Linked DNA regions of Coturnix japonica. The protein of the gene in region 1 binds, or shares a complex with, the protein of each later gene. Links are inferred from orthologs where the notes say so. Each region holds a gene or a part of one and is shown on either strand. Other genes may lie near its edges.

Region 1 (3,570 bases):
CTTCGTACTTTAATTTAATTTACTTCTTGACTGCCAGCATGGCATCTACCTCCTCCTCGGGCTGTAGGGTGTGCCACTGTGCGATGGGCCGCCTGGGGTTGGCCAACATGTCTGACCAATGCCGCAGCTCTGCTCCAGTGCTGTTGTAGCCCACAAAGACTTTCCCGATGGCATCGTTCTTGCCAATCTTGTCATAGTCCAAAACAGTCACAACAATTTGCACTTTCTACAATGAGACAGAGAAAGACCAGTGAGGGGAGGAGGGCAGAGAGGAATTTCAGCACACACAGTTACAACTGAGTCTCCATAGACACAAATTGAGCAGATGCGTGACTGCCAGAGGAGGCTCCCCCAAACATAAGCAAATTCAAACATTTGTCTTTGCTTCTTGTGAGCCTTCAAGATGTATTTCTACTTAGAACCTCACAGTTAACCTGAAATTCACCCCCTCACATCAAAGAGCTTCATGTGGGAATTAAAGTTGATTTTTTTCCCTTAACAGGTTAACAACGTATATATATATTTTTGTTGCTACTGGAGAAGCAGGCTACTTGAAGTCTGCAGGGCTAATGGTAAGATCTTCAGAGAAACTAAGTAAAAAGTAGTTAAATCAAACACATCATTATTGTATAAATAAATGTTAAAAGGTAGAATTCAGAAATGGCTCTACACCAACTTATCATCTCCAATGTTGCACTCAGTTCTTTCTACTTTGAAGCAACTCCTTATTATCTGTCCTGCATGCAAATCTGCTGTTTTCAAAAATAATTCAGAAGACAGCACACAGAGAGCATTGGTGCTCTGGCACAGGTTGCCCAAGGAGGCTGTGGATGCCCCACCCATGAGACATTCATGACCAGACTGGATGTGGCTCTGGGCAGCCTGGTCTGGTGGTTGGTGACCCTGCACATAGCAGGGGGGTTGAAACTACATGAACATTGTGGTCGCTTTCAACGCAGGCCATTCGATGATTCTATAATTCTTTAACAGCCCTTAAAGCTGCTGTCTACAGATATGTGTACATAACTGTGTGTACAGACACACATACACACACTCATATGTATGTGTACATTATAGGTTTATACAACAATAAAGCAGCCAGGAAAAGAGACTGTAACCCAAGGGAGCCGGAAAAAAGAAGAAGCTGTGGTGTCTTGGGGCTCTGGCACAGCATCTCTATTAGGCACAGGGAGGTCTGGCCTGCAGCCACACTGGTGCTGCAGTCACTTGGCTGTAGGAGCAGTAAGCTCTGGCACACAGAATTGTGAGAGCCCATCTCTCAGAGCTCACACACCAGTTCCTGCTCACTTGGGCTGGGGCACGTTTAGAGGCAGAGTTCAAGGCAGGTGTTTGTGTATGCGTGCACATGTTCCCCTCCATCAGGTTGTTAAGATTTAATGAAACAGTACAAACAGCTTTGTCTTCAGTGGGATGATATTCTTAACTGTATCTGAGACATTAAACAGCCTTGGGCTGATTTTATTTAACTGTAAATGCTTCTCCTTAGGGATTTGCCAGTTAAAGTTGAACATACAGTTCTTTTCCTGACTTCTTCTATCCCCTGATAAATATATATGGTTCCCTACATGAATGTGAGCTTCCTGAACTCACTGAAGAAATGCACTGTAACAGATTTCTTTAATAAACAATCAAACAAACAAACAAATAAATTCTCAAATATCATGTTTTTTAAATTTCAGGTTTTAAATATGTGAATAGTCTGGATTTCTCAGTAGCACAATTAATTTTATTGCTTGCAATAGGATTTATCTTTTTAAAGTAACCCTTAAGCATCTCTGCAAGACCGGACTCACGTGGTCTGTTTTATAGGGTCCATTCACTTACACGACTCTGCAGTTCACTGAGCCAGAGAAAGAAATAATTCCAGCAAGCACTAAAGTATTTATATAGTTGCTGATGACAAAAGGGTGCATCAAACTCAAGATTCTGTCTCCCCAGAGCACTCATGATATATAGCAATATCCTGAAGCAAGTATTCCTAGATGCCAAAATGATGTTTCATTTTTGCTGCTTGCAATACACTCACTTTAATGTTGATGGTACCTCCCCAAATGAACATTTATGTTTTAGATGTATGATACAATCACAGATCTAAAACATAGGCATGAGTACTATTTTTCGGTACAAAAAAAGTTGCCTGCTGCACCTAGAAGCTCGGGGCTAGTTATTATTTGGTTTTTCCTTTGTTAATCATAATGCAACAGTGAGCACTGAAAGGACACTTTTTTGATCTATAAAGATGGAAGAAAATGTAGCTCAGATGGTTAATGCCAAAACGATTTTCACTGTATGGTTTTTGACTTAGACCCGCAGAGAAATGTACTTTTCATCACAGTACTTTTGTACCACATATTAAAGGAACAGCACTGCAAAATCCAACAGGTGCAGCGGAACTCACCACCTCTGTTACTACATACTTGGATTAGCAGTTTCCTTGGCATGATTAGGCATTCTTTGTAATGAATGGGAATGGAGACTTTGGTACCTCTGGATGTGGTCTTCCTTGAAGGTGGTGAAACGTACTTAATTTGACTGAAGGAACAGGATTTGACTTCCCAGTGGTATTCTCCCATTGCCTTTCAACATACCACCTTTTCCTTGTCTGCCCATTTCACTTGAGACCCTAAATCCATTCTTACTGTAACTTAAGTCTAAACAATATTTAAAACACATTTTTTTTTTCTGATGATGAAATTACTACAGTGACTTTAATGAAATCTCTTCTAAATAGTCTTTCATAACTAATTCCAAAATACGCTGGCACAGTACCACAGTCCCTAACTACCGATCATTAAATTGAGGCTATATCCTGAGGTAAACAGCTATAAGTTGCTCTAATAAACTTATCATAAAAGCAGTAAAATTTTAGACAGCTAAACCACAACACTTTTTAAAATGCCTGTGTCCACCTCACTAAGCTGCTTTAGGATTAGAAGGCAAAATGGCCAAGCACCCACAGAATAAGTGTTAAAATGCCAAAGCTCAGATTTGATAACTTGGAGGTATCCATTCAGGTTCCCCACTCCTGTCCCTACTCAGAAATCAAGATGCTTCAGAGAGGCTTTATATGATAGAACTTCTTTAGCTTCTGGTCCTTTGATGCTTGTTCTGAGGTGTTTCACCAGCACAATGAACAGCTTTCGTTAAAATCACTGTGAATTCGCCCCTGTTGGATTTCCTCTTTAGGTCCCGTCCATAGACATTTGTATCTATGCTGTGGGGTATCATAAAGCTCCTAGGAGGGCCAGTCCTGCACTCTAATCACTATTCCTATTGCCTCATCTTATTTAGCTTAGTTATCTTTGTCAGAACCAAGCCAATAAAAGGCAAGCACACAGCCTTTGTTGAAAGGCAGGCCTTAGCTTCTGGACTTCTTTCCAGTTCAGCTGTTATCAGAATGGAAGATGCAGATTCCCAAAGCCCTTACCATTCTCTCTCCTAATCAAGAGGAGTCTGCCTTGCAGTCTCTACTGCCTTGCAGTTTTCCCTAACAATGTCAGCTAGCTGCACATCTAACTAGTGCCATTTCAACCCCCATTGCAACAAGGA
Region 2 (4,257 bases), on another chromosome or scaffold:
GGATGCTTTCTCCATCCAGGATTGGGAACAGCAGTGGGATGGGATTGGGATGGGATGGGATGGAGATGGGATATGGGGTGGGATGGGGTGAGATGGGATATGGGATGGGGATGGAGATGGGATGGGATGGAGATGGAGATGGGGATGGGATGGATGATGGATGGGATGTGATGGAATGGGATGGGATATGGGATGGGATGGAGATGGGATATGGGATGGGATGGAGATGGGATGGAGATGGGGATGTGATGGATGGGATGGGATATGGGATGGATTGGATATGGGATGGGATGGAGATGGGATATGGGATGGATATGGGATATGGGATGGAGATGGGATGGGATGGGATATGGGATGGATTGGATATGGGATGGGATGGGATATGGGATGGATTGGATATGGGATGGGATGGGATGGGACCAGAGCCCCCTCCCCACTGTCTGCATGGAGGGGATATGAGGGACCCCTGGCTGGGATAAGGAAGGTGTGGAGCATTGCAGCTCACCTTGGTTGTGCTTCAGCTCTTTGGGTTGGGTTAACTCAGCCACAAAGCATCGGTTGGGGTTTATTTCCAATGGGAGCTCAGTCCTTTCCCATCTCAATCCTTCCCCACGCTGGTCCTGCTTTGTATCAGCCCCACTTCTGTCCCTCCAACCCCTGTCTCTGTGTGGTCTGAGGGTCTCTGCTGCCCCATTGCCAGGCTGGGGACCCCCCAACCACATCTATATATATAACCATATCTATATATATAACCACATCTATATATATAACCACATCATTCCTCACCCTCTGCTTGAAGGAGTTTGGGGTCCTGCAGGGCTCTGGGGTTGAGCTCCCGGCTCTTGAATGGGGGAAAGCATCGCTCTGTGTGCCCCCCCCCCCACAGCCCCCAATGAGCCATAGGAGGGTTGTGTGCCGTATCCTGATGGGGGGCAGAGCTTCAAACCGATCCAGGCGGAGTAAAATCCGATCCGAAAAGCGATGGAAATTCAGCCCTGAGGACGATGTGACTCAGATCTGCCTGGCTGTGCTTCCATCTGCCCGCGGCCGTGGTGGGGAGCGAGTGGGAGAAGCTGCCAGAGCGGTTCTAAACGCCTTGAAACCCCTTTTATTCCTCATCAAAACCCCCCCCAAAAAAAACCACGAGGGGCCGGGACCCTCAGCTCACACCCCACACATCCAACACCCCCCTTAAAGCATCTCCAGCATTGAAGCCCTGAGCTCCGGGGGGGGTCTCCCATCACCCTATGAAGCGCTGCATCCCTTCGGCTCTGCTTTAACCAAATAGAGGCCCCCCCCCCCAACACCGGTACAGCCCCCCCCCCGCTATAGCACAGCCCCCCCCGCTATAGCACAGCCCTCCCCATCGCCTCCCTTCTCTGCCTGTCGCAATGGACTCTCCCAGCTCTGGGTGCGTGTGGCTGAGGCTGCAGCGCTGACGCCGGGCTGGTACCCGAGGGTTGATCTGCTGCTGGATCCCTACGAGCATCATTCATCCCTACGAGCATCCTTCATCCCTACGAGCATCCTTCATCCTCAGAGCATCCTTCATCCTCCTCGGTACATCCAGCATTGGAGCAGACCACGCACTGACACAGGTAAGGATGCCACTATAAAGCATCCCCCCCCCTATTTCCTCCCTTCCCATCCTCATCTCCCATCTGCTTTTAATTAGCATCCTCGGGGTTTTGCTGGCTGACGGATGGGGAGTTTTACCTTCTCCTTCTCATCTCTGTGGCCATTTTGTCCTGAAAATCCTTTGCTTCCACCTCTCAATGCTTTTCTCTGTGCGATCGGGAGCCCCTCGTTAGCTCTGTGCACTGCAGGGATCCCATTATAGGGATGGATAAGGAACCTGGGGGGGTTTGGGGGGGGGGTGACCTTGGGCACTGGGGAGGGCCAAGTCTTCCCTATGTCGCCATGTTCATGGTGCTCTAAGGAAAGGAAGGGGGGGGACCCTAATATAGGAACCCCCCAGGGGTTTGGGGCCGCATCAATCAGGTGCTCAGAGGGAATAAAGGGGCCCAGAGCCCCCATAACCTTGTATAGGGTCGGGGCTGATATCACAGATGGGGTTGGCTGAGCCTTTGTGCAGCCAGGAGAGTATTTAGGGGGACCCCCATTTCCATTCCCCATCTTGCCAGCCTGTGATCTGTGCCATTTCTGCCTTGTTGGGAAAGCAGGACCCTCATCCTAAAGGGATCCACCATCATTATTTGGGTGGCCCTGGCTTTAACCTTGCCATCCCCCCATTATATCTGCTTGTCCCCCCCTCCTCTTTGCTGCCCCCCACTCCCTTTTTGCTGGCTCCCTATTGCCAAAATGCGTCACAGCCCCGTGGAATCAGCCCCGCACCAGATGACCTTGGTGCTGGCCAAGGCCGCACACCGGCTCCTTCCAACCCCTTTGGGATCCCACCCGAGTTGGGCAGGGGGTCCATGAGGGTTTAATGCCCTGGGATGGAAGGTTGGGAGGGGGGGGAGGAAGGTGGGTTTAATGGGGTGGGGGGGGAATAGGGGGGGTGAATTGTGCCGCAGCGCCAGCACTGCACTGTCCCTGGGTGTCTGCGCAGAGCCAGCCGACAGCCCTGGATGTATAGGATGTATAGGATGTATAGAATATATATAGGGTATATAGGGTATATAGGGTATATAGGGTCTATAGGGTGTATATAGGGTATATAGGGTATATAGGGTATATAGGGTGTATAGGGATATATAGGGGTATATAGGGGTATATGATATATAGGGGTATATAGGTATATGAGATGATATATAGGGGTGTATGAGGTATATAGGATATATGGGATATATGGGATGATATAGGGTATATAGGGATATATGGGATATATGGGGTATATAGGGTATATAGGGTATATAGGATATATAGGATACATAGGATACATAGGGTATATAGGGTATATAGGATGTATAGGGTATATAGGATGTATAGGGTATATAGGATATATAGGGTATATAGGATATATAGGGTATATAGGATATACAGATATACAGGATATATAAGGTATATAGGATATATGGGATATATGGGATATATAGGGTATATAGGCTATATAGGGTATATGGGATATATGGGATATATAGGGTATATAGGATATATGGGATATATAGGGTATATAGGATATACAGGGTATACAGGGTATATAGGATATATAGGGTATATAGGATACATAGGATGTATAGGATGTATGGGATATATGGGATATATGGGATATATAGGATACATAGGATATATATAGGATACATAGGATATATGCAGGATATATATAGGATATATAGGATCCATAGGATATATATAGGATATATAGGAGATATAAGGCCAAATTTAGCTCTATGTTGAAGCCCCAGCCCTGCTGTTATTAAAGGGGGGGGGGTCGGGGGGAGCACCGCTTGTGACGGCTGACCGTCGCCTCCTGCGGCACACTCGGAGGTCTGCCAGGAGTAAAAATAGCACCTTTTATTTTAAGGGGGGGGGGTGGAGAAGGAGGGGGGCGGGTTCATGGCTGTCAGAGCATTGCTCAGCCCCGCTGGGGGCTGGGGGTCTGTCATAGGTTGTGTTGGGTTCTGCAGGGGGCAATGCTGGGTGCTGCCCATAGGGATGGGGGATTGGGTGGCCCCAAATGGGGGATTGGGTGACCCCATATGGGGGATTGGATGGCCCCAATGGGGGATTGGGTGACCCCATATGGGGACTGGGTAGCCCTAATGGGGGATTGGGTGGCCCTATATGGGGGATTGGGTGGCCCTATATGGGGGTTGGTGGCCCTATATGGGGGTTGGTGGCCCTATATGGGGGATTGGTGGCCCTATATGGGGGATTGGGTGGTCCCTATATGGGGGATTGGGTGGCCCCTAAATGGGGGATTGGATGGCCCCTAAATGGGGGATTGGGTGGCCCCATATGGGGGATTGGGTGGCCCCATATGGGGGATTGTGTGGCCCCATATGGGGGATTGGATGGCCCCAAATGGGGGATTGGGTGGCCCTATATGGGGGATTGGGTGGCCCCATATGGGGGTCCTTGGTGTGTATCCGGACCCCCTCCTTCTGGAAGCCTCCCTGGGGGGTCATATATGGTCTCTGTGCCCACTCAGCACCCACAGGCACCTCTGGGCAGTTGGGTTGGAGCTGAATGAGCCTAGAGACCCCCCTGAGTGCCCCCCAACCCAAAGCTCAATTCACTCCCTGCCTATGAATGGCCACCAATGCAGAGCTATGTGCTACCCCAGGACCCCCC
Region 3 (4,226 bases), on another chromosome or scaffold:
GCTCCCTGTCTTCCTCGCTGCCTGACAACTCTTTTCAGGACCTAGGGGACGAGCGGAGATGTCCGGGAATGACCCAGAGCGGAAGACGCGGATCACTCCCACACCTTCCCACCTTTTGCAGGAAGGAGTATTTGCAGACGTTTCCCACACACCCCTGAGGATAACCAAGGAAGCGCTGGCAAAATACAGCGGAGGGCTAATCCCTCCCCCATCTCCGCCAGGCGAAGAGGCAGGGTCCCTGGTGCAGGCAGACAGCGGGAGATGAGGCAGGGGGTGCACACATGGAGTCGCGCACCCCTCCGCGGGGCTGGCAGAGCCGGGGACCTCCTCCGCGGCCAGAGCCCAGGAGCGAGGGCGGTACAGGGAAGGGGCGGGGGAGCGAGAAGCAGGGGGAGGGCGAGAGCCCGGCTTCAGCAGCCGGGGGAGGAGGAAGGAGGGACCGTGTAGGTGGGATGGTCCGGAAATCCCGTGATAAAAAGAGGAGCGCGGGGGAAAAGTAGGGAGAAGCTTCGGACTCGTTCTCTCTCCTCCACTTCACATCCACAACTTGCCCGCTGGCACATGGGTGCCGGTCGGAGCCGCTAGCAGCGGAACGGTCCGCAGCACCTGTCCAGCACCGCACAGCGCCCACGTAGCCAGCGAGGTACAGGCACGGGGTGGACGGGACGGAGGGTGCCGTGCCGTGCCGTGCCGAAGGGTGCGTGCCGGCGGCGTGCGGGAGGGCAGCGAGGAGAGGCAGCTGCGGGCAGGCGGCGGTGGGTGCAGCCCTAATGGCACCTGGGAACCGGAGCCGATGCCAACGAAGGGAGGCAGCAGGCTGCGCGGAGGGGATACCGGGCTGCGCCCGCCGCCGGTCCGTCCCCGGCTCTGGTGGAGCATCTCCCGGGGAGATGCTGGCAGTGCACCGGGATCCCCGGCGAGAGGTGTCGCATCCCCGCGTCCCGCCGCCACGGCTGCATCCCCGCCGCTCATCCTACCCGCTCGCCCCGCCGGGCACACGCGGAGCGTTTCACCTTCAAATGCCCCCTCCGGAAGCCAGGTGGCGGGAGGTGCGGGCGGGGAAGAGAGAAAGTTAGGAGCTTTAACGCTTTCTCGTCCGCGCTGCCGGCCACCCGCACTCTCGGGCCATCACTGCTCCCCTGCCCTCTTGCCTTCCCCCCCTTCCACCCTCGCACTGCCTGGCATCCCCCTGCCTTGTCCTGTAGGGCTGGAGTCCGAGGGTCTGCGGGTGGAAACTTGGCTGGGAAGGAAGGCGGTGGGGAAGGTGGTAGCAAACAGCCGCCGTTTTTCCTCCGGGAGAAACCGCTCCTCTGGTGTCTGTGCCCCTCCCCGCAGGCTGCCCGCCGCGGATTGCCGGTCTCCGTGCATGCGAGGTGTGAAGCTGGGCAGCGCCCCTGAGCCATCGCCATGGATTTTGTGATGAAGCAAGCCTTAGGAGGTAAGTGCAGCCTGCACGTGGGGGGCCTCGCATCGCCCTTTCCCTCTCGGTGCAAGACGTGATGGTCTGCTGAGAGCCTCCGGTGGGGCTGCGGTCGGAATTGCTATTTGGTGGCTGCAGAGGGACATGCCAGCCAGATTCGTGATCCCAGAGCCAAGTGCTGGAAGAATCTGAGCAGGAGAGGGCAGCAACAAGCAGACACCAAAGCCCCATGTCATAGAGGGAGGAATGCCTCCCACGGCAGATGTGCTGGAAGGACTCGGGCTGTGCTGGGACCCTACCAGCTGTGTCCTGCTGTACTGTGCATAAGTGCCGTCTTGCTTTGTACTGTCTTCTGAGGCAGCAGTGGCAAAGAGAGTAGGAAGAATTAATCAGGGGACTCCCAAAGACTGACATTTTTTGGTGGGTGGGAGCCTCTCCTCCATCCTTCCCCTGGACTTTGGGTAGATTGTGACCAATGGCTACTGAAGAGAAGTTTGGTTTCTGTGACCTAGCATTTGGGAAGTGATATTTGTTAATAATATTGCTGCAGTAAGCAGGAAAAAAAATAATGTGTTCCCTCACAACTGATGTAGTTAGGGGACAGACCTTTAATATGGTTTTAATGTATTTCCTTCCATGTGTGATGAGCCTCTTTAACTCAGTGATGAGAAGCAGAAAAAAACAGCAGTGAGGGGAGAGAAATGAAATCCAACACAAAAGTGTTCTGGAGTGAGATTCCTTTTTTTTTTTCCTGTCACAGTTGCGTTACCTTACTGGGCTGCTTGTCCCAAATGCTCAGAAAAAGTGAGATTGTCATTGGAACAATACCGAATACAGGCTGTCTCTGAGAGGTGCTTGGCCTTGGAAGAAGCCACGATGTGTTTCTGATTGTTCCCTCTATTTTACTATACCTGATGTGTGCATTTTTCCTTTTTTTTTTTTTTTTTTTTTTAATTTTTTTTTTTTTTTTTTTTTTTGGGTGGGGGGCGAGCAGGGGGAAGAGGTAAACTGTAGCCATGGGACTGAGAAGATGTCTCATGCGTAGTGTTACTGATACCATATGCTTCAGCACATGGTAGAGACATCTACTGCAGGACAGTTTTATGTGGCATGGAAATGTGTTTTCCATTTTTGCAAGGAATGAACTATTTTCTCACCAAGGGAGCAAAATCTCGTAGTTAAGGATAGAGTGATATCCGAAGTTCTCATTGTGGTGTTTTGAATATGAAGGCCAAATTGAAGATAAAAGGTATCTTCATCTCCTTCTATTTTGTGTGATCAAACTTGATCCTACATAAGAAAATAAATGTTCTTGTGGTAATGGTATTGCATTTCATCACTGTTTGTGCCTATCTGAAAGAGAAACACTCCTGAGGAGGGCAGGTTTTATATAGGTTATCTACACTGTAAGGTTGCTTACACGGAAATGAACCTGGATCTGCATGGTAAAAACAGCCTGTGCAGTTGGAGATCAGGCAGCCCACTGAAGAGAAATAACAGCTTGGAGACTGCAAGGGGTGTGGAGGGTTGCAGAAGCGGAGTAGCAGCTGAGATGCATACTCTTATTGTGGGGTTGTGACGAGCTGGAGTTGGGAGCAGTGTGTGCTTGTACCAAACAGCATTTAATCTGGGCAGACATTCATTCTAACATAATCCTGCGTGGCAGGGTCAGGATTTGCATTATAATAGGAGCTGCTGAGAAGTCAAGTTCAGGAAGGATCTGTTGGTGAAGTCTGGGTATCTCATGTCTGCAGCAAGATGCTGCCCAGGGTGCCAGCTCTTCTGCCATCTGACATAGTATATTAGCAAACTGGGCCTGACATTTGCCCCTTGCTGGATAGAGGAGAAGGCTCTGAGGACTGGTAAAAAAACAGAAAATGTTCATTCATTATGCAGAGATGTATTTTTAACTCAGAAATGGTTTTAAAGAGGGAAAACAGCTACTTCCAGGGCAGATATATCATATCATAGGAAGTGAAGATTCTTTTGGACGCTGGTTTCCCATCCAGTGGTAAAGCCACAACTGATGCATTCATGATCCTTCTGGGAGTTCTCCCATCTCTGAGGCAATCTCTGAACATGCTTCCTGGGTCTCTAGTGGCATCTGACAATCAGATATGCATTTCCTTGGAGCCTTGCTAGTCAGAGGGGTAGAAAGCAGGAAGGTGTTTTAGAAAGCTATTGAGATGAGTTAGCAAGCAAGGAAAGATAGTTATGTTATGTGGTGTAGGAGTCTGTGAGTTTGTGAAACTCTTGAGGATTGGGATGATACAAAATTAGTTTGGCAGGTTATTCTGAAGCAGAATATGTTCATTCCGTGACCTGCAGTTAAAGGGAGTCTGCAGAAGCTTGCTGTGCCTGTACAGTGGACGTCTCTCCTCTGCTGTGCTGCCAGCACTGGGATTTTGCTGCTAGTCTTGGCAGCAGTCATTGCCTGGCTGTTAGTAGGTTTGAGATGTCTTTGCAAATTCTTGGCCCCTTCAAGGTAAAATTCCTGACCCTCACATATGTAGTGGGGGCTGTGATCCAGTAAAGCACTACAAAATATTACCTTACTTGGCCATCTGGTTTCTGTGGCATTTTTATTTTTTTCTCCACTCAGGACATTTCATTGCCCTCTGTAGAAAGTGCCCCCTTGTACTGTTTATGTGGCAGTACAAGCAGCACAGATTTGAAATACAGTCATGGTTCTGATTTGCTGTGTGGGATGACAAGAAGAAAACAAGGGGAAACTTGAGAGCTTAAAATCACTGCTTCTGCCAGAGAAGTGACAATGACAGCAAAAAGGTATTTTTACCTCTGCCCA

The links.
Region 2: the proteins of SYT1 (region 1) and SV2A are in contact, whole or in part, in a crystal structure (PDB 4V11), measured with the Homo sapiens proteins. The link is inferred for Coturnix japonica from reciprocal best matches to the Homo sapiens genes SYT1 and SV2A. Residues at the interface, in NP_001129277.1 of Homo sapiens: Thr291, Lys314, Lys326, Lys327, Lys328, Glu342, Ser343, Phe344, Ser345; in NP_001315603.1 of Homo sapiens: Asp82, Thr84, Glu85, Gly86, His87, Asp88.
Region 3: the proteins of SYT1 (region 1) and CPLX1 are in contact, whole or in part, in a crystal structure (PDB 5W5C), measured with the Rattus norvegicus proteins. The link is inferred for Coturnix japonica from reciprocal best matches to the Homo sapiens genes SYT1 and CPLX1. Residues at the interface, in NP_001028852.2 of Rattus norvegicus: Glu271, Thr383, Gly384, Glu386, Thr406, Leu407, Gln408, Glu412, Met416; in NP_074055.1 of Rattus norvegicus: Val61, Met62, Gly65, Asp68, Lys69, Tyr70, Lys74.

The regions. Positions count from the first base shown.
Region 1 is NC_029516.1:35,821,717-35,825,286, reverse strand, and holds part of SYT1 (synaptotagmin-1), read right to left. Parts: intron 227-3,570; coding exon 20-226; 3' UTR 1-19. UniProt on the Homo sapiens protein: Calcium sensor that participates in triggering neurotransmitter release at the synapse. May have a regulatory role in the membrane interactions during trafficking of synaptic vesicles at the active zone of the synapse.
Region 2 is NC_029540.1:401,038-405,294, forward strand, and holds the start of SV2A (synaptic vesicle glycoprotein 2A), read left to right. Parts: upstream 1-1,338; 5' UTR 1,339-1,598; intron 1,599-4,257. UniProt on the Homo sapiens protein: Plays a role in the control of regulated secretion in neural and endocrine cells, enhancing selectively low-frequency neurotransmission.
Region 3 is NC_029547.1:46,352,361-46,356,586, forward strand, and holds the start of CPLX1 (complexin-1), read left to right. Parts: upstream 1-1,335; 5' UTR 1,336-1,407; coding exon 1,408-1,438; intron 1,439-4,226. UniProt on the Homo sapiens protein: Positively regulates a late step in exocytosis of various cytoplasmic vesicles, such as synaptic vesicles and other secretory vesicles.